Linked DNA regions of Schizosaccharomyces pombe. The main gene of each other region encodes a partner of the protein of the gene in region 3 in a complex. Each region holds a gene or a part of one and is shown on either strand. Other genes may lie near its edges.

The links.
Region 1: skp1 (region 3) and rav2 share a complex: the UniProt entries of both Schizosaccharomyces pombe proteins name them as parts of the RAVE complex.
Region 2: skp1 (region 3) and rav1 share a complex: the UniProt entries of both Schizosaccharomyces pombe proteins name them as parts of the RAVE complex.

What each region holds. Positions count from the first base shown.
Region 1 is NC_003423.3:1,861,041-1,871,517, forward strand, and holds rav2 (RAVE complex subunit Rav2), read right to left. Parts: upstream 2,108-10,477; 5' UTR 1,990-2,107; coding exon 1,126-1,989; 3' UTR 501-1,125; downstream 1-500. Other genes in the region: csc1 (FHA domain-containing protein), read right to left, coding at 1-59; trm141 (actin binding methyltransferase), read right to left, coding at 2,328-2,786, 2,859-3,146; protein tam8, read left to right, coding at 3,480-3,713; elongator complex subunit Elp6, read right to left, coding at 3,737-4,291, 4,374-4,568; palmitoyltransferase Erf2, read right to left, coding at 5,357-6,409; SPOM_SPBC3H7.08C (uncharacterized protein), read left to right, coding at 8,212-8,280, 8,350-8,401, 8,562-8,803; phosphoserine phosphatase Ser2, read left to right, coding at 9,294-10,091, 10,163-10,261. UniProt on the Schizosaccharomyces pombe protein: Component of the RAVE complex which is required for stable assembly of the vacuolar ATPase complex V-ATPase.
Region 2 is NC_003423.3:3,520,123-3,533,390, reverse strand, and holds rav1 (RAVE complex subunit Rav1), read right to left. Parts: upstream 8,856-13,268; 5' UTR 8,719-8,855; coding exon 8,632-8,718; exon of another isoform or gene 8,517-8,631; coding exon 4,710-8,516; 3' UTR 4,546-4,709; downstream 1-4,545. Other genes in the region: DNA-binding transcription factor Rsv2, read right to left, coding at 1-460; SPOM_SPBC1105.13C (uncharacterized protein), read left to right, coding at 1,203-1,631; hhf3 (histone H4 h4.3), read right to left, coding at 3,313-3,624; hht3 (histone H3 h3.3), read left to right, coding at 3,862-4,272; ubiquitin-conjugating enzyme Ubc15, read right to left, coding at 9,707-9,765, 9,836-10,061, 10,138-10,167, 10,246-10,389, 10,472-10,516; EMP70 family endosomal transport protein Emp70, read right to left, coding at 10,993-12,683, 12,832-13,030. UniProt on the Schizosaccharomyces pombe protein: Component of the RAVE complex which is required for stable assembly of the vacuolar ATPase complex V-ATPase.
Region 3 is NC_003423.3:1,134,976-1,142,153, reverse strand, and holds skp1 (SCF ubiquitin ligase complex subunit Skp1), read right to left. Parts: upstream 2,027-7,178; 5' UTR 2,007-2,026; coding exon 1,958-2,006; intron 1,905-1,957; coding exon 1,857-1,904; intron 1,783-1,856; coding exon 1,415-1,782; intron 1,370-1,414; coding exon 1,349-1,369; 3' UTR 914-1,348; downstream 1-913. Other genes in the region: MIS12/MIND complex Mis12, read left to right, coding at 2,627-3,406; protein Swi5, read right to left, coding at 3,624-3,786, 3,952-4,037, 4,090-4,098; NifU-like protein nfu1, read left to right, coding at 4,565-5,347; tif452 (translation initiation factor eIF4E, 4F complex E subunit isoform 2, stress response factor), read right to left, coding at 6,777-6,891, 6,949-7,088. UniProt on the Schizosaccharomyces pombe protein: Required for cig2 degradation in the G2 and M phases of the cell cycle. Together with pof6, essential for septum processing and cell separation.

The DNA.
Region 1 (10,477 bases), 720 kb from region 3:
ACCAATTTCTTCGTTTGAAATGATTCATTTAATGGAGTCAATGTAATTACGGCAGACATACCATTCAGGGTGAAAGTTGAAACGTATCAAATGGGCGGATGTCGAAAGACGGTAGTAGAAGGAAATTGAATGTCGAGAGCGAAATTGTCCTTTTTAACCGTTGCGATCAAAATATACCACAAAAATCAAATGTTTAAAGGTGGAGTGATATTGAAAGACACAACGTTCAAGCCACCAAGGCGTGTGTGAGAATATAATTCATACTAGAATTATTCTCTTATGGAAATCTTGTGCATCTTCTGTCGCTTTAATACAATACAAATAATATTATATCTTCGTATAGTAATATTATAATTGCTTGAAAAGCATAAGAAGTTAATGTACATAAAAGCACTTTAAATTAACGATTAATGCAGCATAGTAACCTACTTTTCGGTTTCACCCATTTTAAGATAGTAATTCTCTCGTTTTATAATACATTGTGAAATACTTTCACGATTCTTGGTAAATTCATGCTTATAGTGTATCATGCATAAATTAGAAGTGTCATTATTTTATTCCTAAACTACATGGACAAAATGAATTGCAAATTGAAGCAAAGAGAAAGAAAATCTTCAATCGAATATTTAATCAGATAGGCTTAAAAGAAGTTGTTAATAACTTCTCCGTTGATGAAAAGCAAAGCTATAAGCTACAATAATGGGAATAGCTTTTCTCGCTCTCCACTACTATAGTTCATGTACAGTTGTTTCTTTTAAATGCATCATATATAGGTCGGAAAATTAGGACAGAAAACACATATATCGTAAGTAATGGATAATATATACACAAAGATAAATCTCAAAGAAATGGATGTTAACTTCAATAAACTTGACATATTGATTCGTATGTGGCATGCGGATATGAAGTAAGTAGAATGCAGTAAGGTTAAACGAATGAGATCCAAGAGAAAAAGCCAAATATGTAGATGAAATTCATAGAATACAAAGTTAATCATGCAATCAAGCGAAAAACTGAACATAGTTTCAAAACATAAAACCAGGGAGATTCCCAATATCAAACCATTTATAACTGCTTAGGCAATTGAACAGAGAGCAAATCAGTACTGCCACTGAAAAATTCAATTTATTTGGCACCATATAAAGAAGAAGAAATGGTTTTAAACCTATATGAAACGTCGTTAACCTTTTTTTGTAACGCTGAAAGTTTTGCCGTTACTGCCAGAAGAATTGGATCCTGAGAAAAAGCATCTATTCTTTGAGAAACAAAAGGTTTAAGCATTTCTATATCTACGGAATTTTTTGCAAAAGACTCTAAAACTTCATTGGGACCTGAAAGCCTAAATAAATGCAGGCAGACTGAAGCATTTGAAATGCTGAAGCTCAGAGCTAAATTAGAAGGAAGAGGAGGTGAAAATAAATGATTACGAACGGTCTTGTGTATTTGACGAGGAGAATGGTTAAGGCAACTAAAAGGGTTGCTTGTTCTGGAGACAATGGAATTTTGACTTTTTAGCGATATACTGCTGGCATTGGATGGGATCTCCTCTTTTTCAGATTCCTCTTGCATGATGGAATGAAGTAGACATACAATCGCATGCAAAATTTCCTGCAATTCCTTTATGGCACGTTCTGTATTATGTCGCAATCGGGGCAAGCAATATAAAGCGTAATGCATATAATTACTCAAGTTGAGTATTTGGTCCAAATGAATAATAGCAGAATCTTTCAGCTTTAAAACATGCGTAGTACGACCAACCTTCGCTGTGACATTGACACGAACTACGTTACTGCTGCTTCTTGAAACAATCCCTTTGACGGCGTCGGTTTTCGGAGACGTGAAAACTAGGACAGTTGGATCATCGGAAGAAATTAAATTCAATGCTTCCTTTAACCCTTCCGACATAGATTCCCAAAATTCCGGTAGCACATTAGTCTCCAACCACTCTTTTTCTTTAACGATAACAGAAGCATCAATTTCCGTTTGCATAATAAAATAGTTTACAAACGGGATTTATAAAGTAGATATGGTGTTATATCATTCCAAAAAAGTTGAAACAAAAATATTTAAAAGCAGCTAACGCTGAAGGTGGGTAGTAAGTAAAGTTATACTAGTCACTCGTTGATAACAATTAAATAGCATATGCGAGTGTAGTTTAAGAAAACAAAGATTTTCTATTTTTATTAATTAAATTATCAAAAAACTAAAGTTACTGTCATAAACCTTACAATAAAACTCAGGACTCATGTCTAAAACGGATTACATTAAAAGCCCTATATAAAAGAATAAAAAATACGCAAACAAAGAAACTTTTTCTACCAAAGTATTCACAGCTTTTTCCAAACTCCTTGTAAAAACGTACGCTTCATATTTAAGTTACGCTTTCGGTTGTCAACGGTGCGATTAACTCGATCTAATGTTACTAAGCCAAACCCGGCGCTTTTCATCCATTCAGCAATATCTTCTTCTCGAAAAAAAAGTGATAAAGTTCCATCCTGTCTAACGAACGTCTGTTCATCAATCATAGATGGGTCACCGCTTGTCATGAATTTCTCTTGAGCAAAATCGCCATCACAGTAATCACGAAACACCAAATGCCCTCCTGGCTTTATGACTGAAGCCAAGTTCTTAATAGAACGAAGCTGCTTCTCGCGTGGAATGGCAGATAATACAAAGATGGCAGTTAATGTATCAATGCAAGCAGAACCCAAAACTTCAAGCAAAGAATCTTCGGTTATATCATTAACAAAAGGAAAAACTCTATTTTCGTTATAACAGGAATGCTTCTAAATTAAGACAAAGGTTAGTAAATTAAATATTTCAGAGCAAATTGGCATAAATTTAGTAGCTCTCCTTACCTTCACAAAATCTATAGCACGAGGACTAAAATCACAGCAGTATATCTTCAAATTTGGTTGCACTTCTAGCAGAGGATAGACGAGGTTTCCAACACCGCATCCGACTTCAAGGATAGTCAATGGCAACTTATCGGGCAATCCAAAATAACAATCGAATTCACGATCAAGCCAGTGTCTATCTTTGAAAAACCTTGTTTCATTTCGCTTGTAAAACTTATCCCAAGACTTTTTCGACTCCTTTTTATATTTTTCAACCCAAAAATCACTTAATTTTGATATACCACTCATATCTCCTAACAATTTCGTAGCACGGTCTTCTATATGTATGAAAGATGTTTCAAAATATTACCCAACCCAGTAGTTATTCCAAAAAATGCGATAAAAAATTTGTATGACAACGATTTACCCTACAACCTTCAATGAATACCAAACTGGCTCGATCAATTTTTTTTAAATTAAAAAAGCACTATTTTAAATAAAAAAATAACCAAACCTAGTTCGTTAATTCCAAATTCACAAATCAATGCACACTGTGCAGAGAGCGTCTTGTTCTTCCTTGTAAACCTACACCTATACCAATTCGCGCGCACCTTGTGATACTCGCAACTCTACAAATATACAATGAATAGGACTTCAGAAAGTGTGGAACCTCAACAAAATGAAAAAACAGCAGTGCATTGGAGCAGAGAATGGGTTCCTGTTGTTGTAGATACATATTCTAATGAAGATGATGAGGATAATGAAGAAGGAGATGAATCCAGGCCTCAACGAACATTTTTAGTAAAACGGTGGGTGCAAGATAATGTACAAGTGGAAAAGAAGGGAGACGAAGAGACTGCAGCAGCAGATAATTGAGAAAAAGTAGATGAAGTAGGAATTTAGAGTTGCAGCGTCACCTGCCCTTTGGAATATACCTTAGCACCTGCTTCCGTTACCTCGTATAAAAGCTCCTTGTCATCATCCTCCGGGGTCTCGCATATTCCACTACGAAAGTGATTTGGCATTCGAGAAAGACGCAGGAATCCGGTGATTCGTCGAGCGCTACCGCTAGTCAAAGGCCGACAGGAAATACATCTAGTTGCCATGTGTCCGATTGAAGAGCCTAAAGACTTTTGTTGTGGTAACGGAGCTCCCAAAGTCACGTTTACAATGACTCTACTGAAACATTTTCGTAATTCCAAAATTGCCTGCTGAATCTTTGTGGAATCGAGAGCATGAGTACTTTGTAAAATATCAATATCTTCTATGATGATCGTGGAGTTTTCAAATTCAAAATCGTTTTCCTCCACACATTGGATCACAGGCGCGAAAACAGATTTGATGTGATTTTTGGTTTCTGGTGCTTGTACCTTCGAAGGCTTGGAAATAGGAGCAAATAGCATGCTGAAGCCATCGATAAAGAAGAAATTTTTTTTCGTTTTAATATCCATTCCCTAATATTGGTTCAGTAGGTTAGTCATACGAATAGTTTATCATTCAACCACTTATGCAATCGTAATCCCTCTTTTTACATACCCATTTACGCATACTAATTGCATGCTCATCTAAGGTTTTACTGAATGTTAAAAAACAAGTACTTTCCTTTGCTTTCAACGCATGGTATAAATAATAATGGAACAGAAATGTGACAGGTGTTTCTCTTGTTCCCAGTAGCAAAGTTAAAGAAAAAGGCTCAGGAATGGGGCGTAAATGCTCGTGTAAAGAAGACATTAGGTTTAAGAGCCGTTTGTCATTAGTTTTATAGCCTAACTACAGTAACCAGCTTTCCGAATGGTTGTAGAGGGTGAATGGAAAACACAAGCCTGGGAACGGAGCAACATGAACCAGAGTAAGAATGAACAAGCCGGTCAGTAATGCAAAGCTAGTTCTAATATTATAGAAGTTTCAAGTATCAAATTAAAGAAGTCTAATACCAAATTATTTTCCAGAAAACTATCCTCTAAATGTGGATAAGCTATTTCATTAAAAAAAGAAAAACTATCTACCTATGGAACATTGATTTGCCTAAAAGGCAATCATAATAATAAAAAAGAACAATAAAGAGCAAATCCCAATAAATTAGACTGGAAAGGGGTTTAGCTAAAGGAGGTAAAACCATCTATCTATCATATAAGTCATAAAAACAAGCAGCATTACTTTAAAAATAAAAGAGAGCAGCCAAATTAAATATTAATAATTCCAGAGATTGGTGAGAACAAGGAATAGTTTTATAAACATTTGTTTCTGTACATTGTTCTCTGTAAAGTACAAAGGGCGAGCTGAAGGGGTCGACGACAAGGATGAAAAAAAAGAACAAAACATTATCCAGGTAAAAATTTTGAAGAGGGGAGTAATCTTTTTTATTCCGGTTATTAAAACCAAATTAATTTCGGTACTGAAAAGTAAATTGGTAAGGGGAAGATGAAAGAGTGTAGCATATATGCGTGAGCGATTTGAGCATTATTGTCTAGCAAATAAAAAATTTTTATTTCTTATTTTCTTTGTGAAGCCAAGGCATATTACACGTAAGACTTCCTAGTGGGACGAACGTAACTCACATTTTTAGGACGACAAAGGACAACCAGAAAATTGAGCCATATGCTGTCATGAAAAGGATGTACATCTTCAGTTTCTGTACTCTTTGCTCGTAAGTATTCATGAACATTCTGACCAACAGATATTAAATAGCACTGGTAACAGAAAAGGATGCCAGGAAGTATTGCTCCAAGTGCCCCATAAATGCCAAGGAAGAAAGATACGCCAGCCCATGGACGACGAAGATGCGCCGCAAAATTTGTATCTGTGGATTCATGAAAACTTCCTATAGAAGTATAGAACCCCAATCCAGTTAGATACAAAGCTGAAAGAACGACAGATAACAAAAAAATAAAATAATATCTGTAGTTTCGACGACCAATGCAAGTGTTTAACCAAATGCAGTGATGATCAAGGTATTCAACACAATTATCACATAAATGACAATGGCTTGCACGTGGAGGACGATATAAGTGGCACGTATGGCAATAAACTGTATTAACAAAGACAGAGTCAGACCGAGTGGATCCAACAAGGACTTTACGGTCTTCAGGAATTACAGACCAGGGATGGGCAGGGTTATAAGTTAAAGAATATGCATTTCTAGGAAGAATTCCTGGATCAGCAGTCGAGCACTTGAACATGGAAACAACGGCTAAGGCATACAGGTAAGCAAAGGTAATAGGGACAGCGGGAGAGACATGATGCCAGAGCCAAAAAGCAGAAAAGATGAAGAAAAGGACTCCTGGAAGAATCAAGGCAAACAAGCTAATGAGGAAAGCTTTGTACTGAGATGACATTTGCAATCGACCACAACATAAATAGATATTGTTTCCTGGTAAATTCTTATATCGGCTTTCAATATGCGGTACTTCCGGAACATCATCAGGAACGGATTGAAATCTATAAGGAATTTGGTTCTTTTCTTCCAAATTCATGGGATACGTTGGATCAGACAAAGTCACCTCAAATGGATTCCATGGCTGATTCCACGCGTAGCGGGATGCCTTAGCATCACTGTGTTTCTCATAGCTCATGATTATATTCTCTAAACAACAAACATGGCAAAGAAACAGCTATTTTTACACCTGGTATTATATCTTGTAGTTTTGTTGTCGGTAAGGATATGAACCCCTTTTGCGATGGAGGGTGAAGTAAATATTAGCATCCGCCAAAGTTTGTTTACTAAGCAAATAAAGAAATCAAAATAAATAAACAATTAGAGAATGTGACTCTAATAACTAATATTTGGAATGGCGCCTATTTAATCGATGAGAGTGTATTAAAAAGAGAAGGGAAATAAAAACAGAATATGAAATGAAATGCTAAAAAAAAAAATACTAACCGAAGAAATAAAATTAATAATAATAAATAAAGTACTTATTTTTTTTTTACGAATAAAATGTAAAAAAAATTATTTAAGAGTGCCAATATATTAGTATTTATATTTTTCAAACTTTTTATTTAAATATATTTCATCGATACTGTAATTGGAACATCCTGTCAGTACAACAATTCAGGGCTCAAAGTTAGAAAAATCAAGTTTAATAAATTATACTATCCGTGCAATTTCGGGTTTGTAAAGAAAGTGGATAATATATGGAAAAATTAGTAATATATGACTCGATAAAGACTCCAAAGACTAAGATAAAAGACCAATATCATGGGAAGTAGACTAGCTAGTAAACCATTTTCATCTTGTGTATTATGTTTTTTTTTTTTTTTTTTTTTTTTAAAATGGCTAAATAACTAGCAGGAAAATAATGGGAGGGTGTAATTGAGAAAATATTAGAAATGAAGGTACGGAAGCAACGAAAAAAGATCTTAAAAGTTTATTAGAGTGTTGCAACTATTGAAATTATGATTATCGCGAAGCTATTAATGAAAGGGCTAATTTAAAGGATCATCTCTATACTTTCACTAGCCCCGAAATAACCCAATAACCTCTATGGCTTGTAAACAAATAACTCAAGAAACACGGTATATGGTCAGTTATGGATGAAATTTTGAAGAAAAATTATTACTAATCTACATCTAAGAAAAACCATCCTGGCTTCATTCACTGTATTTAGTGGAAATGTAGTTCACAAGATTATCGAATTAGATTGTTATTCCTCAATATGCATGACTCCAAGCGGTCCTTTGGTTTTATTTCCTGTTTTAAAGGGAAATGAATTAAATTCTTATTCCTTAGAAAATCTCAATGACGCTTTTAAACGTACTTGTACATTGGACCTACTTTACTGGAGAAACATTTGCGGTCAGCAACTACTATTAAGTTACTAACCTCATGGCAGCTAAATTTTGAAAAATGACTATATTTATTTATAATGGTACGAACCATTTTTATTTGTTTGCGAAGTTTTTTAGTGTTCTCTTCTTATTATTTACAAATATAATCTTAGGAAAAGTTTAGTAAATAAGTGTCCTAACAAATTCTATAGTATAATACAAGGGTAGAGGTAGTATCTGAAAAGTATTATAAAACTGTATAAAGCAATATAAATACAAGGGCGGTTCGATCCCGATTGCAAACGCTGGAAAATCTAGAAATATTGGAAAGTTGCTTCTTTCACCACTTTAGTAGAAGGAGTTGGTGATTATTATGATATTATTATCCATTCAAATTTGAATCTCTTAATGCGCACCGTTGCTACGTCTTGTCTGCGTCAGGTGGCGATCCCCATAAATATTGATGCTTGTCATAAATGTTGCGAATGTTCGCCTACGTATTTCATTTTGACATTTACAATCATAAAAGGATTTTAGATCCTTTCCATCTCGAAACAATTAATCAAACTATTCAAGCGAACAAGAACTTTTTATTTTTGGAACCATCATGTCAATTATGCGCTCAATTATGTCGAACCGCCTGGTTCGCTGGTCAAGAGAATATCCAGAACTATTTGTAAGCTCAATTTTTTTTTGAAAAATATATTGAGTTGATTATTTCGTAAGCTGATCAGTTTGCTGTTAGATAACTTGGTGTGTCATGACTTATACCTTTGGAGTTGCTGGTTATATGCTTGGTATGTTAAAAATTAGTAGAAAATTAGAAATCAGCGCAGTTAATGAAACATTATACTCAATTTTAATATTCTGTTAAAATTTTCCTACAGAATATTTATTTTACAAGCGCATTTACATATGATTGTTTAAATTAAATGATTGTAGCTAACAGTTTTTTAGGACAGCGGGGCTTGTTGGTACAACATGAAGATCAAGTCCGAATTCCTTCAAAAAATGCTCACCCCTGGGAAGACACCAAAAGCAGTAGCGGAAAAAGTGATGAGAGTCTTGATTATAGCTACAAGTATTATCCTCGAGGAGATAGGAGTAAAGAACCTCGAAAGGCACCTTCTGCTATTCAATACAGCACTTTTCCCGTTAAAGGTGTATCAGAAGAGGTACTTGAGCGATTCTCTAAGTAAAGCACATTAAATTGTGTATAACCTTTTAGGAATGAAAGAGAACAATTATTACATTGCCAAATATTTTTTTAGTGCTTTTTCACTTTACAAATATCTCACTCTCTACTTTATGGTAGGCTCTCATTTTTGGAATATTTGCCCTGATATATTGCAATATTTCCAAACATCTTCTTAGTTATGATTTCTTGCTTTATTGCTTTAATGTATAAAAAAAATATTTGCTTATTAACCTGTGTTTGAAAACGGAGTTTAGGCACCACTTTACCAACTTCACAATTTATACAGCATTTTGAAGATAATGATAAATTTGTAAACAATAACAAAAAATAAGCTTGTTTGAGATTTTCAAATAACTTAAATTGACCTAGTACTTGTTGTCGTTTAACGTTAAGCTTAATCAATAGCCGAGTAATTAGTAAATGGGACTTGCCGAAAACAACGCTTTTCAACTTAGAAAATTTAGCAAACCCACTCATACCTTTTAATAAGCATGGTCAACGCAGCCATAGTTGTTTCCTCAAATCGTCCAAATGTGCTTGAACAGATTTCCTCCTTGTTTAGAGATGGGAAGACTCGTTCTCTGGGGGAACAGTGGACTTTAGTATCAGGCCAACTTAAAGGAACGTTTGAAGATGCTAAAGACGCTTGTAACCGCATTTCTGCTACTGAGAATGTAGACTGTAATTGCTTGAGTGAAGCAACATTTTCCACTAAAAAGAAGCTTGTAGTATTTGACATGGACTCGACGTTGATTCAACAAGAGTGTATTGACGAGCTCGCGGCAGAAGCAGGCATCCAGAAAGAGGTTGCTACGATTACATCTCTTGCAATGAATGGGGAAATTGACTTTCAAGAATCACTTCGTCGTCGCGTTTCTCTACTACAAGGGTTGAGCGTCGATGTCATAAATAAAGTCATTGGCAAAATTACTTTCACTCCAGGAGCTAAACAGCTTTGTCATTGCCTTAAGCAAATGGGTGCGACTCTTGTTGTCGCTAGTGGTGGATTTGTTCCAATGGCTGAATATGTCAAGGGACAACTGGACTTGGACTATGCATATGCCAATGTACTTGAATTTTCCGATGATGGTAAATTCCTCACTGGAAAAGTTCAAGGTGCAATTGTAGATGGACAACGAAAAGCTTCCATTTTGCGTGAAAAGAGGGAAGAGTTGGGTTTAAATAAGCTCGAAACGATGGCTGTTGGGGACGGAGCTAACGATTTGGTCATGATGGCCGAATCCGGTTTAGGAATTGCGTTCAAAGCTAAACCCAAAGTTCAATTATTGGTATGTTCGAAATTTTTTTACAAATTTATGTTTTTAATGATCTTACTAACTCGATTTTTTTTTTTAATTAGGCTGATTCGAAAATCAATCTTCCATCTTTGCAAAACGCTCTTTACCTCTTGGGTATTGATGAGCAACAACAAAAAAAGCTATTGGAAAACAAAAATTAATTTAGAATTTCCAAGAATTTTTCAATCGCAAGGCGCTGTCAAGAACTCTGAGCTACTGTGGCTTGGTTTTTATAAAGCAATATTTTACTTGTGCGCGTGGTCTTTTTTTCTGTAGTAGGAGCCGTCTTTTATATACCCTACTTCTTTATTTTTGATACTCTTATTTTTCTTTTTCCTTAATTTACAATTTTGGTATGATCAATGCTTCATTGGAAA
Region 2 (13,268 bases), 2.4 Mb from region 3:
GAGGTGTGGTGATAAATTGATGATTGCTGCCAAGGGACGAAGGGACACTTGGAAAGTTAGCAGCGTTACCATAGTCAGATGCTAAGGGATCAAATGGCATGTCCATCGAGGAATCGGGAATAGTGTCGAGGGAGAAGGGGTCCATTGTGTCAGCATCGTTGTAGACACGAATGGGAACGTTCATCATATAGTCCCAGGAGGACATATCAGATAAATCTGAGTTATTTTCTTCTAACGTAGTAGGGTTAAAACGCTTTAAATTGAGTTCGGGCATCGAGATTTGCTCGAATTCAGCATCCGAGAATGCATTCGGAAATACATTAGTCACAGAGCGACCATTCATTTTGGATTTACGATTTTGTTGCAATTGGGATCCATTAAATTGCCAATCTGGAGTGGGAAAGTTATCGTTCCCATTACTAGAAATTGATCTTGCATATGTGTTGTTTGTAGTGTCCATACTACCCAGCAAAGATGCGCGAGGCAATGTATATATAAAGAATGACGTCAAGCGTCTGATTGAAAAAACCACCCTTGTCAAACAACATTGGTTAGCAATTGACGTCGTTTTACATTGATTGAGCCAATCAGAGGCCGCCAATGAAGTAGCATGGAAATGTCAGAATGCGCTGGCAGTGCTGCTGATTCGTTCTTTTCAAATAAAAGCGCGTAATGTGTAAGCGAACCCCAATTACATTCCTTCAATCTGCGACTTGCGCTCTACGCTGTCCTCTCATATGGAAAGCGAGCTTCCAGTACTTAAATCACCTTATATATCGCGGTTAGTCATAACGCACTAATGAAGGAATACGCTGCAAGCTTCATTCCAAAAGCAATCATAGAATGAGGTCAAAATGAAGAGGCGGAGTCGGGGAAAGATGAGATTGAAGGATGAATCAAGTCCACGATACTTTTAGGTCATATCACGACGTTGATTTGCATCTTACTCTAGTTACTCGTACTTTAGAGATGCGATGGAATTGAGGATGTTTGGTACAACAAATGTCTTGTTTTTCGTTTGCGCCGTGTCACGCTACTCCTAAGATAGCAGCTAAATGAAAAGTCTAAAAACGCTAAAAAAATTTCCTCCCTACATGTTCAAGTCAATCAAGTGCTTCATGTTCCCGATCACCATATCGGCATCGCAATGCAGACCTCGATTGCTTACTTAAACTCGGTAATCTCGTCTTCCGTTACCCTACATGATCACGGAATTCATCAAGTCGTTTTTACTTTTTTTTTTCCTTCCCTTCTTTCTTTCGATGCCGATGATCTTCGCTACTCTGGGGGAGTTTACCGACGATCAAACTCATCATTATTCCACGCTTCCGTCGTGTGACCTTCTCCTTATTCGTGGAGAAGTTAAAGAAAATGCCAGATGCTTCTTGCATAACCCAAAAATTAGTCATCAGCATCATTCTTTCTGGTCCTTAATAGAAGGATGTTTGGAGGCGCTGCAATTTGGCTTACTAGCAATTCTTCAGGGATTATTTTCTCAGTTTGCATGGGAAGCCTGCTCTTGTACCTTTGCATGCATGCTTCTTACTAGCGAACGTACTGAACCGTCTTATCCGTTTTCCGAGATTACAGAGGTCAGTCGTGGTGGGTTGCACTTCGTTAAGTTGAATTAAGTATGCTTAACTCAGGTGAAGTCAATTTGTCGATGTCGATGAGATTGGCTAGTACACGAAGGGGATGCGGAGCTGCTAAGCAGAGGAGTGATTTAACTATGAAACCAATTCGTAGGATAAAGTATACTTTACCGATCGATATGGATGATGCAGATGTAGGAATCAATTATTCTACTTTCTTGTGAAAAGCATAACCCATGTGTATTATTTTCAAACAAGTCAAACAGATGGATAGCCAACACGCATATGACTGCTTACTCAAGTACAAATGACTTTTAGAGCATACCAATTTCAACAGACTTTTATCACTAGTGCAACTATCTTTTTATCAGTTGTAGTCTTTCAAACATCAATAATCACTGGCATTCACACACGGCAATACCAATCATTATGTTATTACGAGAACAACTCGTGAACAAATGGATTCCAGTGTGTTCTAGCATACACATAAATGTCTCGTCTTTCTACTTTATTATTTAGTCGATGAGTGGAACAATTAATAAACTTACCATTCAATATTGCACTGACAAACGTATACTTTTTTATATTTCTCTTTCTTTTCGTAGGCTTTACGTACTTACTCTTCCTTATTTTCCTCTGCAACGAAAAAGAGGATTGGATTATGGGCTTCGTCAAACGTTACAATTACAGAGTAACCTTGTAATAAGATGAAGTAAAATATAAAGTAAACGACGTGTAGTGATAAAAAATCTGTATTTTTGTCAAAGTGAACTTAATTGTTCAACGCGTTCTGATGTCATATGCCCAAAAATAATTCACCTACCCAAGGTAATTGAAAAATTTGTCAATACAAAACGAATGCTTTATAAACACAAAAGAAAACATGTCAGATTAGAGAAAGAGTCGTACGCTCTCATTGCTGAAAGCTTTTTATCCTTAACACTTTACTGGAATTTGTTAGTCCCGTTGACTATGTGGTTGTTAGATACAGATTAGGTAAATTCATTTATTGTGGTATTAAGCAAGGAGCGGAAGAAAGTACGTACTTTTTTACATTGTTAAAAGTTTTATTTGACGAAATTACAACACTTAATAAGTATCTAAGTATGCGATCGAGCTGATTCAATTTGATATCTCTCAATTAGAAAGTTGCGTATTACCTCACAACTACGATGTACCGTACAATTCACAATCTTCCTGGCTATGCAACTGTTTGCTATCAACTAGTCGCTTAGATAACCTTCTTTAACCCCATTCACTAGACACACTTTCCCCATACCCAGAAAGATGACACGAAGAACAGTGTAACGCATCAACTAGGTTAATTTGCTTAAGGTCGCACAAACAATTACCTAAAGAAAAACTTGCGCGTTTACTATATTTGTACTACTTATAAATATCACGATACGATTCGGGTTTAATGAACATTATATTAATCATTTCATTCAATAAATGTATTAATCACAAATCCACGAAGAAAAATTCATCTTCTTGTCAGATGGAGTATTCAGCCGTGATACAACGCGATATGAAAAATTTCTCACAAAGACCAAACGCCTTTTTGTCTATGAATTGCACTAGCAAATTGATAATGCTTCTTCTGATATCGCCCAGATGAAAAACATTCTCGTTTGGCATGTATATATAGAATAGTTATAGTGTACACATAAAATTGATAGACTCGAAACAAAAAATTCGGAGTCGGCAATTGATATCGAATTTAACCACCGAAACCATAAATGGTACGGCCTTGACGCTTCAAAGAGTAGACAACATCCAAAGATGTAACAGTCTTACGCTTGGCATGCTCAGTATAGGTGACAGCATCACGAATAACATTTTCCAAGAAGAGCTTGAGGACAGCACGAGTCTCTTCGTAAACTAAAGCGGAAATACGCTTAACACCACCACGACGAGCAAGACGACGAATGGCAGGCTTAGTAATACCTTGAATATTGTCACGAAGGATCTTACGGTGACGCTTGGCACCACCCTTTCCTAAACCTTTTCCACCTTTACCACGGCCAGACATATTGCACTATTAATATTAACGAAATAGAGTTACTACTATAAACAGTGCTTCTATTGCTAGTAGGGTATGCGGCATTTCACAATATATATTAATGCGCCGTCCCTATTAACTTACGTCAATTTAATTAAAGGGTTAGGGTTGTGATCAAAGTTGGATGTAGGGACATATTTATACAGCGTAATCTCCCTATAATTTGTTTTTATCTACACAGGGCAATTATCAGAACACTAGAAAATAATGGCTCGTACTAAGCAAACTGCACGTAAATCAACTGGTGGTAAGGCTCCTCGTAAGCAACTTGCCTCTAAGGCTGCCCGTAAGGCTGCTCCCGCTACTGGTGGTGTTAAGAAGCCTCATCGTTATCGTCCCGGTACAGTCGCTCTTCGTGAAATTCGTCGTTATCAAAAGTCTACTGAACTTTTGATTCGTAAGCTACCTTTCCAACGCTTGGTCCGTGAAATCGCCCAAGATTTCAAGACTGACTTGCGTTTCCAGTCTTCTGCCATTGGTGCTCTCCAAGAAGCTGTTGAGGCCTATCTTGTCTCTCTATTTGAAGACACTAACTTGTGTGCTATTCACGGAAAGCGTGTAACTATTCAACCCAAGGATATGCAATTGGCTCGTCGTCTTCGCGGTGAACGCTCATAAGCAACTTTACCAAATTGTGGTTGCCATCTGATGGTGTGATTTGGAATCTTTTGGTCGTCTATCCCATTGTAATCCTTCCCTCATTTACTTTGCCTTTCGAAACAAAATTTAACCTTGAGTGTTGTGGAATGTAACAAACGATATGCAAGTCTAATTTTTTGTTTCCGTGAGCTGCACTATCTATTTATATTTTTGTTTTCTTTTTTCGAGTTATACCGCGGACGTTTTTATTTTCGAAATGTATAGAAATTTTTAATTCTCTCTTTACGTCCTGCGCAATTGTGTAAATGAAACGCTGAGGAACTTCATCTGTATTCTTATATGCTATTTAATAGTAAATTAATTTTTAATATCATTATTGAAACACGATAAACTAAGGGTTGACCGTATTTGATTTTTTGTAGTATTTTTAAAAACTCGTATCGATAATTAATTAATTACTCGAAGCTGAACGCAGATTCATTAAATTCGGGGACATCGTCCGGTGTTGGCCGGATATCTTGTCCCATAAGAGTTTTTCCAAGTTTGGGGGAGTCGTGAGTTTTTTCCACTGCAGACTGCTTGTCAGTTACCATATAATCCTCAGTTTCAAGATGAGCAGTTGCAGGATTTTTTTGGAATTTCCAATTACGCAAAAGCCCAAGTGCTATTAGGTCACATCCTAATTGGCAATACACATTAGCATTATGCAAAACAAATCGATATTCAAGACTTTCATCAATTTGCACGTTGCTGGATCTTAAACATTCATATAACAAAATGAAGGCAGGATCATCAGACGGAAACTTATTTCGTACGGGTTCGTTAGTACTATTTCGTTGTGAATCTTTATTTTCGTGAATTTCTTGGTCGTTTTTATCGGATGTATAAAGTTGTATAAAGTCATTATCGCTGACCAGCGAGCGAATGGGAGATACCAAACTTTGCAAGGCCTTTTTTTCCTGTTTTAAAATAGTGAAACTCCAATTGGTGAGCCATCTATCGTTTTGAGATACAGCCAAAGGAAGTACATACTCGTTTATTAGCCTCTTTAAGGTCGGACCATCGTCGCCTTCATAGACTCGAGTCATTGCGATGGCTAATGAAATGCTTTTTAAATTACGGATACATACTTTTGCGGCATCATAGCAACTATCTGCCAAAAGAAAAAATGCAGAAGCATAAAAATATCTGTGCTTGCTTAAAAGTGCAAAAGCATTCTTGGATGCAACCACTTTCCACTTCTTTTTTGAAAAGTCATTCGAAAGCAACTTAACCGTTCGAGCTGATTCCTTATGCCAACTAGCAAGACGCCAAAGATCACGAAATACATTTATTTTGTGTAGAGCAATGTGATATAAACTAACATTCTCTGGGTTCCTATCGTCAATCTCAGCGTAATGATTGCGAGACAGCTCTAAAAATACATCTTTCAGTAGCTGCTCATTTAGCCAAAACGGTATCGCATATTCTTCAACAGCATTCCATAACAATGGTTTTCCATGAAGCTTTTTAGTGTGGTCCAACAGAACAGCTTTGTTAGAGCTATGAAAAGCCCACGCCATCTCTCGGGTGGGCAAGCTTGTTAATTGACGTTGATGTTTTGATAAAACGTACTGGTTTAGCATAATGCAATATCTTTTTCCGTTGAGGTCCAATGAATCTCGCAATGCTCTTGCCTTATTGAATGCCTCGATTAAATTAAGAAGTAAAAACTGAGATGATCGAGTGAGGGTTTTGACTTTCTTTACTTTTAATAATGCAGTCAACTTCTTTATCATTTCATCAATGTATAATCCTAAATGCTTTGAGACACTGGTCTCTTCAAAATCCAATTCCGCAGGATTTAGAATTTCCGCAGAATTTTGGCTGAGACTTTTTATTAAAAGGTCTTTAGAAATTTCTTCGTCACAGCAGTAAAACTCACTGCAGTCCATATTTAAGAGAAAATGCATATCTACATCATCTTTCAAACACAAGTAAAACCTTAGCAAAATATTAGTAAATAGAAAGGGTTGGTTTCTAAGTAAAAGCTGCTGCAACAATTGAGGATGAAAAACTGGTAAAATTCCATTAAGCTGGTATGCAAGATCAAAAATATTTTTTGCGGAACGTTTCAATGATGCAGGGAACAGTAAAGACTGATCTTCGGGAAGTGAATTATCAAAATAAAAAAGTCCGTTACCAATGGCAGTAACTAAAGTCCCATTATCCAACCAAGAAGAGTCAGATATTAATGAATTTGTATATTCTAAAAGATTGTATCTACGAATACGAGACCAACATGGAATATCGTTCATATAAGATCGGCGATTTTGGCACAAAAGAATAACATCATGTAGAAAGCCAACAGCCAAGATAGAATGGGAATTGGGAGTAGAAGTCCAATCCAAGTCATTTATTGGTCCATAATCATCAAAAACAGAGGAAAATTCTTCCTTTTCAGAGAATTCTGAACTACGCGTGTCGAAAATTGAAAGTCGACGATTGTTCTCAGATACAACAGCAACTTTCTTGGATGTTGAGCCTTTGATCATAGTTGCAGATTTGATGCTAGTTTGCACTTTGGAAATTTCCGATATTTCCGCTTTATCGTCTCCCAATACTCTTGCCATCCAAGTCTGTAATAAACCGTCTTTTGATATTGATTGAAATACCTCTTGATCAAATGAAGATAAACTGCTCAAATTTAAAGTAGAAGACCAACCCATGACATCTACAGCCGATGCGATATTTAAATTCTTTGTAAAATTTACCCGATCTATAAACCGAAGTACAGCAGAACCATCATGAGCTTCGTTAGAGACACTCCAAAACCAGGCATGGCCTCCTTCCGTCAAAGCACATAGGGCGGAATTATCGTTGTTTTGAACAGGAAGAATAAAGAAGGTTATTATCGGACTAGTAGGGACTTGACGACATGTACAGAGAAGGGTTGGAGGAATTGCTTCATTGCAATGCCATAATTTTAAAGAATTTAAGTTGAGTACTGCTGCATATTCACCAGCATAAAGAGGTAATATAAAGTCAGATTCTCCAAGTAATAATCTGAACCTGCAAATTAACTGATTTTTCCCGTCTTGCGATATGTATGATTGAAACATACAGATACGATTAACATCTCGGGATACAATTCCATGACCATTAGAGGTTCTTGTTAAGCTTTTTATGGGATAATCATGTCCATAAAAATCGTAACTAACTCTTAACTCAAAGTCACTATAAAAGAAATCGGTAAGACTAAACATGTATTCACGGGCGGAATTTTGAAAAAATAAAATGATGTTATAATCGTAAAATTCGTGTTTTGAGGTCCTGTAAATAGGTATAAATCCGTCAGGTTGAAGAGCGCCTTTGGGAAAGTTCGTTGGAACTTGATTAATAAGCTCAAAAGATGACAAAGTTTCCTGGTCAATTACTAGAGAAAATATGTACAAACATTCAAAAGTAAATAGCAAAAATATATGTGGTTGTCCACTGGCCAAAGCCAGAAGCCTATTTAAAATGCGATCCTTATGCACTTGACCAGAATGGCGACTTATAGCATGTGCTAATGCTATAGTAAAATCGTCCTTATCAATAAAACAGCAGTATGGTGGTTGATCAGATTTGTAGTATTTTCTCAAGTTAAGAAAACAAGAAAGATGCATTAATTGAGAACCAAATCGGCTACCAACTTGCCAAATTCTTAGAACGTTATCATAGCCTACCGTACTCAGGAAGGGAGTCGATCCACTGGCGTCCGGATGAAGGTGTTTAGACCATTGGGAAAACCTTACGCGACAAGGATGAACAAGATAGCTGAAATCATCACATGAGCTAACTGTACCTTGAGGAGATGTTCGCTGCCAAACTTTAGCAAGTGGATTTTTTGTTTCGATAGAAGCTATAAAACAAGCATCGGAAGAAATAGTGCTACTAAGGAATGAATCCGAGATTCTGTTCTGCGACCAAACCAACCTGGGTTTGTCTTCAGAGAAATTTATAAGTTTAGTGTATGACGAAGCACAAAGCAACAGATCAAAATTGTATCCCCAAGATAGTTGAGTAATATCTTCAGAAAGCTGAGTTATATAATTGTAATGATGAGTCCATTTCAAAGAATCGGCGGGCTTATAAATATCCAAAACTTGTCCATGTGCTATTGCTAGAAACCCCGTACGTTGGTCCAAAGCCACTGCACCAATAGACTCTCCAAATTGTATATTTTGATAAGATTCGTAGTTATTTACAATAATTAATACGGTATAGCGAGTTCCAAATGTCTACCATTTAGTTAAACAATTACTTCAATTGGAAACAATACTTTGACATGCTGCTTTCGTTCTGCAGTTTAACCACTAGCAGACAAACGCATATCGTTTGCGTCCATTCACTTACTAATATTCGATTTTGGTTCCATTGTACATTGTCGTAGGCAGCTGTACGTTTTAGAGGTGTACCGGGATTTGTGAATGCCAGAGGCATGTTTACTGCAGAACGCTGTGCATGAGCTAAAATTGGATTTTTTTCGACTTGCAAATAGTTAAGGGAGAAATGACAATGATAAAAGCTATTAATATCTGATTTGACCTAATAGCTGTCTACGTTCCATATACGCATTTGAACCAGTGTGAACACCACCATACTGCGGAATAGCGTAATATTAATTGTCATTCTGAAAAGTTTAAGCATAATGCAATAAAAAAACGCTAAATGAAAAGGCAATGCTTTCACGGTTCTTAATGCAATTTTAATATTCATCTTAAATGGTTACTCTGAGTATTTAATTTTCAAACTCAACGAAGTTTCGCTAGATTCTTTAATTGGTTTGATTAATCATTGAATCAGTCATTCGGATACGTAGGAGACATTGAGCTAGTTAGTGTAAAATATAATAGACTGAGATTTATCGCTGCATTCAATGTATGTTGTGCAAAACGCGGAATTGAAACCGTCGCTGATAAAGTATGAGCGTATAAGCGAAAATAATTACTTGAATAGAAAATTTTCAATGGAAAACTATCAATTCACGAAGTATTAGCTGACGTTTGTTCAAAGAAAAAAATTCAATCGTGAAATGTAGATTTTTATTTGTTGTTTATCTAAATTATGGCTGTAATTGGTAAAGAAGTAGGATAAATCACTTGCGGTTGTAACACTTGAAAAACTTGAAAGCTTTATAATAAAAACAGAAAAGAATCAAAAGCTGTTAGTTTTAAAATGTCAACCGTTCTGCCAATATTTCATTATATGTGATAATAAATGAACAGTTTGCTAAACTTATTCAAAAAATGGGCAACGGCAATACTTCAAAGATGGCATAAAATATGCAATTCAACTTGTAAAGCTACAGACTTTTTGAGTAAGCTTTACTGCTAGTTGACTTAGGAGGTTTTCTATGCAGCGACTTGAATTTCCTTCATAGCCTTTTTTCTAAATATAGGAAATTAGGGACCTAGGTTGAACATTATCTTCAAATCATTTCAATTGACCTGCGAACAAGTCGACGAACTCTTTTCTTAAATTCTTGTGCTGGAAAAAGTTAGTACGATTTGATTATTAAAGAGTAAATTTTTTTGTTTGTAGGTTAGTATATACTCACGATTTTCTCGAAATTCCTTGGCAGCATCTATATTGGCAGGGGACTCATCATTAGGGGAAGAAAGCATGGAAATTACACTAATCAATATGGTTTCCGGAGAGTGTACCGGAAGCCAACGTTCTCCAGCATCCTCGTATCCATACTTGTCATCTCCTGGTGGGTGAAGAATCGATATGCAAACTTCGCCATTCGGATGAACATTAGGGTGCCAAATTTCCGTTGTGAACTGTTACCGTTAGAATCGTTTTTAGGCATAGACTATGTAGTTTCTATCAATTAAAAAATCAATGTATTTACTATACCTTCATCTTTGGAGGCATCAGAGGATAATCCTAATTTTTCGAGGTTAGTGACCAGCTTGTTTACCTTATACAACAAATATTATTTTTCTGTGAAACATAAATACATACTTGAGGAAACGATAATGTTGCATGGAAAAAACCACCTTCATATAATGTATCTTCTGGTCCAATGATCATAACTTCCCATTCAAAAATGGATTTATCATCGACTAAACCAACGCTAAAACCCTGTGGAGGATTTTTTTGAATTTCCTATATCTATCAGTATGTGTTCAAGAATTAAGATACTATGTACAATCATGAATATTTGGATATGAAGATTTCGTGCGCTTACCTTTAGTTGTTTTCGAAGAAGTTGTTCACTAGCAGAAGAAGGCATACTTCCGATATTTTAATAATTACGTTCTAAATATTTGGTAAACTGAGAAAAAGTAATATAAAGACAATTTTTAAAGTAGGGTTGAGCTGAAGGCGAAATACTGGTAGTTGAAAAAGGTTTGGGCGAGCTTCGTAAATATAGTTAGAGTAATATTCCTTTTTTGTATTATTTATGTAACATATAATAAAGCTTTTAACGTAGAAAACATAAATTTAATTTACTCTAAGTAAACATTTTGGTTAAGATTACAATTTTCAAATTTCTTCTATGATATAGTACCTAAGGTTTTATTACACAAAGTAAAACAAACTGTAGTTATATATTGGATGACCGAAAAAAAACGGCATATTCCTATGAAATTATTTGAATATAAAAGAGAGTGTTCTCCAAGTCATTTTGTTGATTAATAAGGTTTGTAACGGAGAAAGCTCAAATTGAACAATAAATAAAGAGGTATGTACAAATGCCTCGAATAATCAATCAATTTTAATGGACGCATAAATTTTGTTAACAAAGAGAAAGGCGCCAAAGAAACCAACCGATCCACATAAGAAAAATACCAAAACAGAAATCAGTAAACTATAGCCGAAATAAAGAACGGCAGTAGCAAGGGAAGATGATGAGATTTTAAAAAACCAGTAAAATACTGAAAATATAAATACATAGATTCCACAAAATCCAGGTGTTATGAAAGAGCGCCACCACCAGTTGTAGTTTTCGGAACACAATTGGAAATAAACAGTGATAATGGAAACCATGATACAAGTGGTTACTAAAATACCGAAGCAAAAGAACGAGAAACCGAACATGAAATACAATGGGTGAAACCATAAACTGTCAAGGATAGAAAACAATTCAATAAGGATTACGAGGAATGGTATAGATCCACCGATAATCGCACTAGGAAAACTCGAAAGCCAAATACTATGAGATGGAATTTGACGAGGGATTTGGTTTGTCCTAACAGGTGGGACGAACTCTCGAGAACGAAAGCCGATTAAAGAACCGACAAAGCTTAATGGTACAGTAAACAATAGATACAGGAAAATGAGTAGAAGCCAGCTTGAAAAGGGTACAGTTGATGATGAACTTTTACTCCAAAATACCATGTTAAAGAAAAGAGCTGCCGCAAGCATAAAACCAGGTACGACAAAAGGAGTTAACAGAAGATTTCGCTTTCTAAGCATACCTTGCATCAGTTTGTAGGATAATGCAGATACATAACCAGAAACGAAACCTGATATAATGAATAAGGCCACCGTTGCTGTAGCTAAACTTCCACGACGAGAGGGTGCAACAATGCCAAAAATTGCAAATAAAACGATACCAGAGCTCATAAAAAGAAGTTGTGCACCAGTCCCTAAAAGGATAGAAAATAGCATGGGTCTACGAGGTGGACGAAATACATCACCATGAACTAGCTTCCAACCAAAATCTTCTTGAACATCTTCTTGATCGACAAAGGCGCTATTATATTTATTAATGTCACGATTTAGCGTTCTGTACAAAATAATAGAAACCACAAAAATTAGAAATGTGTCAATAATTGCGGAATGGATAATAAAGATCCATCGAATTTGCCTAGATTCAATGTGCATATATTTGTCCCATCGGGTAGCCCATGGAGTATCGGAATATTTCCAAGAGACTGAGTAAGAGGTCACGAGAGTAAGATCAGCTCCTTCCGGTAAATACTGTGGATTTGAAGACGAAGAACAAACTGGGTTTCCATCAACTAAAGTAGACTCCTTTGAGACAGGTTTTACATAAGCACCCACAACACGGTGTTGGTCACTAGATGTCGTATGATATTCTATAACTATATCATAATGATTGAATAGAATTACTCCCTTCTCCGTATTCTTGCCTAATGGAAAGCCTGGCGATAATGAGTAGTTCTTTGAGTTAGTCCCTTCTAAATATGTTGCTACGGGCAGATTATCTATGTTCCAGTTAACAACGTAGTTTTTGGAGATTAAATCTCTAATAAAACTGACATCTGAACTGGGAATTATCGAGGCACACAAGGGAACACAATCCTGGTTTTCAAGCATTTTTATTTCAATGGGAGAGTTGTAGAGACGGTCGCCAAAAAGCACACTTCCAAGTGACTCAGATTGTTTTGCGATATTCTCTGGTCGACAGAAGTGGAAACGCTCATCGTAGTCTAAAGTGAAGTTAGTAACAAGCAAAAAAGTTCGAGAGAAAATGTTATATCCTTCATTAAATCATATTTCTATAGTGTTTTCCTAATTTAAAATTGTAAAGTTTTTAAAAAAACACATGAACCTTCATGTGAGCTATCAACCACGTACATTCATAATTAAAGATGTCAGAACCCCGTCCATCTCCAATAAATGGTGAAATGGTATTGACAGTTGTATCAATTGAAGCACCGGGAGGATAGTTTTTCGGACTTAAGGGAGTTAATTGAAAACTAAAACAGGTTTGGAGAAGAACGGAAACGAAAACAACAAAGCTAAATGAACACGAGGGAATACTAGGTAAAAGCATATTTTACTATTTCCCTAATTCTTGGCAAAGACTCGAAACAGAATCTTTTCAAACCGAGATGATTAAGACTAAATCAATATAAAGTGCTACGGTTTTGGGGATTGATGCTGGTAGCATTTAATTTGAGGAATGCTGCTGTACTCTTAGTATGTCTCTTTATTGTGCTATTAACAATCCTCGTATACCGGTTTACGACCTGCTAACTTTCGTTATTCGTATATGAGGTTCAGAACGTGAG
Region 3 (7,178 bases):
AGATCAAATGATGGTATTACTTTAAAATTCGCTAAATTGGTTTGGCAATTAAAATGATATATTATTCGTTAAAATTTTAGCATAACCTTTCTTATTTAACTTTAGGTAGTTTGTCATCTTGAGTTTGTAAACAAAACAATAATTATCCATTTAACAATTATAAATTAAGAATTGATACTTTGTGGATAATAATAAATCAATTAAATTTTTTGTAGTTTTTTATTTTTTGAACGCCGATTTTCTGGCTGAAATTCTAGTTACATGCCTCAAACGGACAGGTTCGTTAACTTAAAATTCAACATCGAAATATTCTGTACTTTTTTAAATCTTTAAGTAATGTATAAAAAACCAGTATGAAATTTTGAAAATGTCAATTGAATTTACTCAAAACAATCAAAAATATTGACATCTACCATGATACATTAAAATGTTCATAATAAAAAATCAAATTAAATTAAAACATTAAAAGACTAAGGGGCATATAATTATTAATTGTGCACGAAAAAAATATAAAAATTAAATAAACTGTTCCCCAAAAATTGAAATGTTAGGATTCACAAATATTATCAAGCTATATTGAAGGGATGAAAACCGTTGACTAATTATCTAATTTTATTTATTTGCTAATTGTAACGAGTTCAAAAATTCTATTGTTCTATACAAAATTTGTAATTAATATGAATGTAAACTAAATTCACGCAATCATTAATTGTTAATTTGGAAGCTTGATATTATTACGATTCGCATTTTACATAGCTGCTGTCACTATTTTTAAGAAAAGAATCGGATTTTTTTAACAATTCATTGTTTAGCGCTATTATATTACAACACTTCTTTTTTTTTTTTTTTGTTATAGTAAACCGCTAATGCAAACTACATAGGACTATTAGCTCCAATCGTTCACCATATTGAATGGAAGAGTAAAGATAATCTTATTGATGAACATCCCTATTTTGTAACAAGACAAAAGCAAGCTTTAAGCAATTCGGGATAGTAAGTTCAACTTTCTAAATCGTAATTCACATACGTACTTAAAACAACAGTAAAAGATAACGAAATGTGCTTTGTTGGGATAAAATATGTTCATCAATGTACATTTGTATATATGCGATAATGAAATTGATTTGCTGCGACTTAATACGACCAGTGTTGGTACGTCAAGTATCAAGTGATCGCACGCATCGTGAAAACTTCAGTAGTAAAAAATCATCAGTATACTTTATATCAATTTTTTTTTTATAAAAAAAAAAAGGCGCATGATGAGGTGGATGGGAAGATTCCCATTTTACACTGAAAACTACACTTAATGATCCAAGGACAAAAAACTTTATACACAAAAAGCCACAAACTATCTGTCTTCGGCCCATTCCTGCAAGCGGTTAGAATTAAGTTAATAAAGTACCAAGGAACGTACATTTTCTTTACGGATTTGCTCTTCCTCCTCAGGCGTAAAATCATTAGGGATGTTAAATGTTTTCCGAATGTCCTCAGGACTCTTGCCACGAATCATGTTGGCAACGGTTTTACAACCAGTATCAAGCAAAGGTTTAATATCCAAATAATTGCTTGCCAAAACTATCTCGAACAACATTTCCTGGTCTACGGCCATAAACTTACGATCCCATTCATCAATATCGGTAGACTTTTTTAATCTAATGTCACTTTCCTCCTCAGTTCCTGAATACAAATCGTTTTTGTGATGCTCACACCATTCGAGTACCTTTCGCAAAACGTTCGATGATACGTTTGGAAGAGGAATGGGGACATTAATCTCACCAACGTCTATTGAAATTGAGATTTTAGTAACAGGGTCCATAATAATTATTGCACTCAACAAGCGCTTGTATAGATCATACCTTCAAGCATATTTTTTATAAGCATACTTCTCTCAGCGATCAGTTGATCTATAAACAGTTTGTCAATTCACTCAATTCAAAACATTCTCCGTTCTACATACCGACCACGAACTCTTCATTGTCAGATGAAATCAGTTTGATTTTGGACATTGTTGATGTATGTAAGTAATGGATGAATGAAAGTTAAGCTGTTAGCATTTCTAGTTATGCTGATATTCCTACAGTGGCAGAACTCACTAATTCGATATTGGGAAAAGGTGCTAACCCTCATTAAATCAAATTGCATAGCAGAACGATCCCACCGTGATAGCTAAAAAAGGCTACTGAAGAATAATAAAAGAAAGCATAGAAATTGAGGTTTAAGATGAGTCCGTACTATTAATGTATAATTCGAATATAGTTAATATTAGTGTATTCCTCCACTAGAGCTTAGTTGAGGATATAGAAACTCTAGTAATGATTTACCAAGCACAAATCAAAAGCCACACTTCTAAGCAACTAACAAAATAAACCGACTAAACTGTTAATCGCCTGAGTTATATGTTCCTCACAGCAATAAAAACAGCAACAAATCTATGTATTATTCATACTTTTTGATGGGATATACGGAAATCCCTTTTACCTCGTTATTATCATATCTGAGTACACCAGACAAAATGCAACATGGGGTTGGTACATTGCAGAACAACTTGCCGTTTAAAAATCATAACTCACTAGTTTCCTCTTTGGAAGCTAATCAGTGTTTTCAATGTAAAGGAATTAATTAAAAAATGTTAGTGGAGTTACTAGAATTCACTCCTCTCTCCTTCATTGATGATGTGATCAACATTACGAACCAACTGTTATATAAAGGTGTAAATGGTGTGGATAAAGCCTTTTCACAAACGCGGTTTGCTAAAAAAGCGCCACAGGAAATAGAAGAAGGACTACACAAGTTCGAGGTTCTCTTTGAAAGTGTGGTGGATCGTTACTATGATGGTTTCGAGGTGTATACACTTCGAAACATTTTTAGTTATCCACCAGAGCTAAAAGGCTACATGCGTACGTTTGGAAAGGATGTAGACTATTCAATCACAACAGAGCAAGACGCCGCCATGGATCAAGCAATTCAAGAGGCTGCAGAAAAACTCGTAGTAAAGATGCAACTACGTCGTGACCTTCGCATGCGTCTCAGCAGGAAAAGAGAAAAAAAAACAGAAATAGAAAAGCATTTGGAAAGAATTTCTTTTCTCAACAAAGTACCCGAAAATTGGCAAGTTACTTTACCAGAAACTACCGATTTCCTTCTTGATCAACTTGGTAATCTGCAGCATGCCGTTAAAAGAGTAGTTGAAGCCTCTCCCACTGTACACTCACGAGAGGTGGATGAAAGAATTACCTACTTAGAAAAAGGTTACGAACGATTATCTAATCCCATCGACCAGCAAAAGGATTTTTGGTCACATCACTTGTCAAAACTAGAATCGACAGCCAATACTGAAACTGCAAATAACATTCATAAGTTGCTATTGTCATCTGAAAAAGACGTCGGACATACTGACGAGCCTTAATACTAATCAACTAGCTAAAGTCTTGAGATGTTCTAACAATTGTGATCGTTTACGTAAACTTTCATAATAAATATATAAGAATTGGCGTTGGATCTCTAGCGAAAGCAAAGTAATGCTTAATAAAGAAAACTTGGATTGTCTCTGTCACTTTTTCCGTTACATTTTTATTTGTTTTGTTTAACTTCTCTTTTTTCCTAAATAACTGAATGGATAATAATTATTCTGACCCATTAACTCCAAATCTGTCAAACAATTCGACACTTGTACATTTTTCATGCTCTGCCACTTTGCCAATCATTCCCAAAGCAATATCCCGTATTTCATTATAGGTATGGAGTAGATCGATATGTTTTTGTACAGTTTGCTTAGCATCTCGATTTCTAAATCATTTGTCAACATTAGATAAAACGAGACAAGCTTGATGATGACTTGAATAGATTTGATGGAACGGCAATACATTGCTTTTCCCAAAATGAACCTGAACGCGCGTAAAGGCGCATAACTCATATTTTCTACCATTTCTAGCATCACTTTACCACACTTACTTTAGCTTAGCTAAAGCGTCTTGTAAACTACTTTCCAATTGCTCCTTCTGCTGTTCAAGCAAATGGACGCGTGACTCAAGTTGAGACTGCAGTAATTCATCAGTATTTTGTGAATGAACAATGGTACCGTTGGCTTACCTTTTCCATACGATTTAAACAGTTCTTTCTTAATGAAGCAATGATGTGTGAAATTTACTAGGAAGGTATCTGTTTTTGAACACCTAGTAGAAATTAAGTTGTTGAGGAAGGCAGGAGCCTACCGATTTGTTCAATTGAAAACAATGTCTATTGTTCTTGTAAGAGAGAATTTAGATTAGTGATGAAAGACAAGTAAATTGTTGAATCACGAACAATGGCTTATTTCAATATAATGAACTTCGCTAATTTGTATAAGAAAGTATAAGGATCACATCGGTTTTCGTATGCCCATGTACAAATTGCCTTCTTGCATGTATTTAAAGAATTGCTTACATTAGCATTTCCTGATTTAAAAATTGTTAATAAACATTTAAATTTTCCCATCTGTTTGAAGTGTATACTTAAGAAGTTTCAAATTCTGAACTTGTCTTAATATTTTGTCTCTTATTGGATAAAGCACGATTTGATTCCAAGCATGTTATTTCCTAGAGTTGTGCCGTTTCAATCTTTAAGGACAGCATTCCAAAAGAAAACCTTTTTACCAGTATCTTCAGCTGGTAACGTTTTCACTCCACGTTTCCAATTGCAAGCAATTCGCAGCATATGGATCCGATCGGAGGAGACACCGAACGAAAACGCTTTGAAGTTCCTGCCAGGGCTAGATATCTTGCCTCCAACTATCGGAAGCTGTGAATTCATGAGAGGACAAGGAACTGTGAATTCTCCATTGGCACAGAAACTATTTGATATAGATGGAGTTGATAGCATTTTTTTTGGAAAGGACTTTATTACTGTTTCCAAGGGAGCAGGAACTGAATGGGCTCAAATGAAGCCAGAAGTGTTTAGTGTAATTATGGAGCATTTAAGTAATGGAAGCCCAGTACTCTCTGAAGAGCCTCTAAAGGGGGCTAGCGATACTCAAATATTAGAAAGCGACAGTCAAATTGTTGCAATGATTAAAGAACTGATCGAGACTAGCATTCGTCCATCTATCCAAGAAGACGGTGGTGATGTGGAATTTAGAGGGTTTGATGAGAAGACAGGTACCGTTTCTCTTAAACTTCGAGGTGCATGTCGAACCTGTTCGTCATCAGCTGTGACACTAAAAAATGGAATTCAGCAAATGCTGAAGCATTACATTCCGGAAGTGGAAAATGTTGTACAAGTTTTAGATCCAGAAGAGGAGGTTGCAATTGCCGAGTTTGAAAAATTTGAACAGCGCATTAACGGAAACAAACAGAAAGCTGATAACAAGTAACTTTTTCCATTCAACATAGGGAATTTGGTTCATTTAAAAGACTTTGGTGATAGAAATTAATAATTGACGAACAAAACGCTATTTATGAGTTTTAAGAAAAAACAGCAAATAACAATGAATATTTACACTGTATTCGATAAAAAACACATACTACTATATAAGACGATTTGTTTAATCATATAATGTTACTTTCTTGGTTCATTTTCGACTGCAAATTTTATGTACGAATAATGAAGATGTGTATCATATAAACTACAGGTTTCATCAACACCTGTATTATTCAGAGATATTTAAATGTTTTAATAATAGCGAGGGTACATATTTATGAAATAAATAAGTAAAAATTTTGAAATACTGTTGGAATGTTTCGTTGATGTCCCTGTACGCAGATGACTATTTTCGAAATTTGAAAAGGAGAATTGATACACAGAACGGAGTTGAGTTAATGTTAGCCTTTGGCTCTCTTTTGCTTAAAAAACGATACTCGAAAAATTGACTAGTTAGAAAAGGTGGTAATGCATTCGTATATTTTCAATTAAGCTCTAGGTTATTAAATAGGTATACATAAGCGAATTATGTTTGGAGTTGGGAGATTGTATCAGCGTTACGAAATATTCGTCAATCATTTCATCTTTGCTAATTGCTGATTAACCAAATGATGAAGTTAGTGCTGAGCTTTATTTGTTTAAAAAACTTTGAGTATAAGCGAAGCGATAGATTTGGAATTGAAGTGGTGCACTGATACTCGACAATATTCCGTACAGTACATTGAAAAGTCTGATTGTAGATACTTCTTCACCAGATATCTAATTCTAAGCATACAGAAGTTGCAAGTAAATTTCCCCACTTTTCCCAGTACTCATTAAGCGCTGCATTAATTCGATTAAAAGGGCTATCTTCTTAATTAATGTTATCCGATTTCGACAATGATAAGAAGAAATGAAGGTCGCCTATTATTTCGAAATTTTAGTTTGATTCAAACATTCATGGATCCTTAGCGATAAAGGTTAGTTCCAACATTACATTAGATCCTCGGAAATAGTAAAATCATAGTAGACATTATTCAGCTTGAAATAAGCTAGCGATAAATGTTTAATATACAGGCGGTTATGAATAATAGGAAGATTTGGCGATCTAGCATATTTACATTCTTGATAGAATTTTAATATTTATAACGTAAGAGAAGGGTCAAATATAGATTATATCCATTAGCCTATTAAAATGCTCAACAAATATAACAAATTAAACTATTCATACGAATACACTAACTGTAAAGAGGCATCTATCTCATCTCAATAAGCTTGGTATTTTAGAGGTCTCAAAAACAAGAGGGCAATGATTGCAATAACATATTGTCATTCGTAAATGAACACCCCTATAATTTACCAAGCCTTAGAAAGTAAAAATAAAAACTTGAAACTTGATATCATTAAAGACTCATACGGGTTTTTGCTCGCATACTACCAGCCTTTGATGAATCCTCATGAGCACTATATTCTATAGTCTCTTTATCAGAAATCCCTAAAACTTCTTTAAAGCGCAGGCTACATGTTTGTTAGTCCAGTCAACTACCAACACGTTACTCTTAAAACTTCACATACCCGATTTTTTCCAAAACATCTTTGTCATTACAATTTCGTGTCCATACAGCGATTCTATAGAATCCTTTCCTCATATTGCAAACTACACCAGTAACTTCTTTCCCAGTAGGGTCTAATGTTTCTCCAATGGCTGCCAGCACCTATTTCCATACGTTAATACTTTCAACTTAAAAATTAACATTCTGTAAAGTCGATATCACAGCAGTTAAAATGAACAGACCATGACTTAC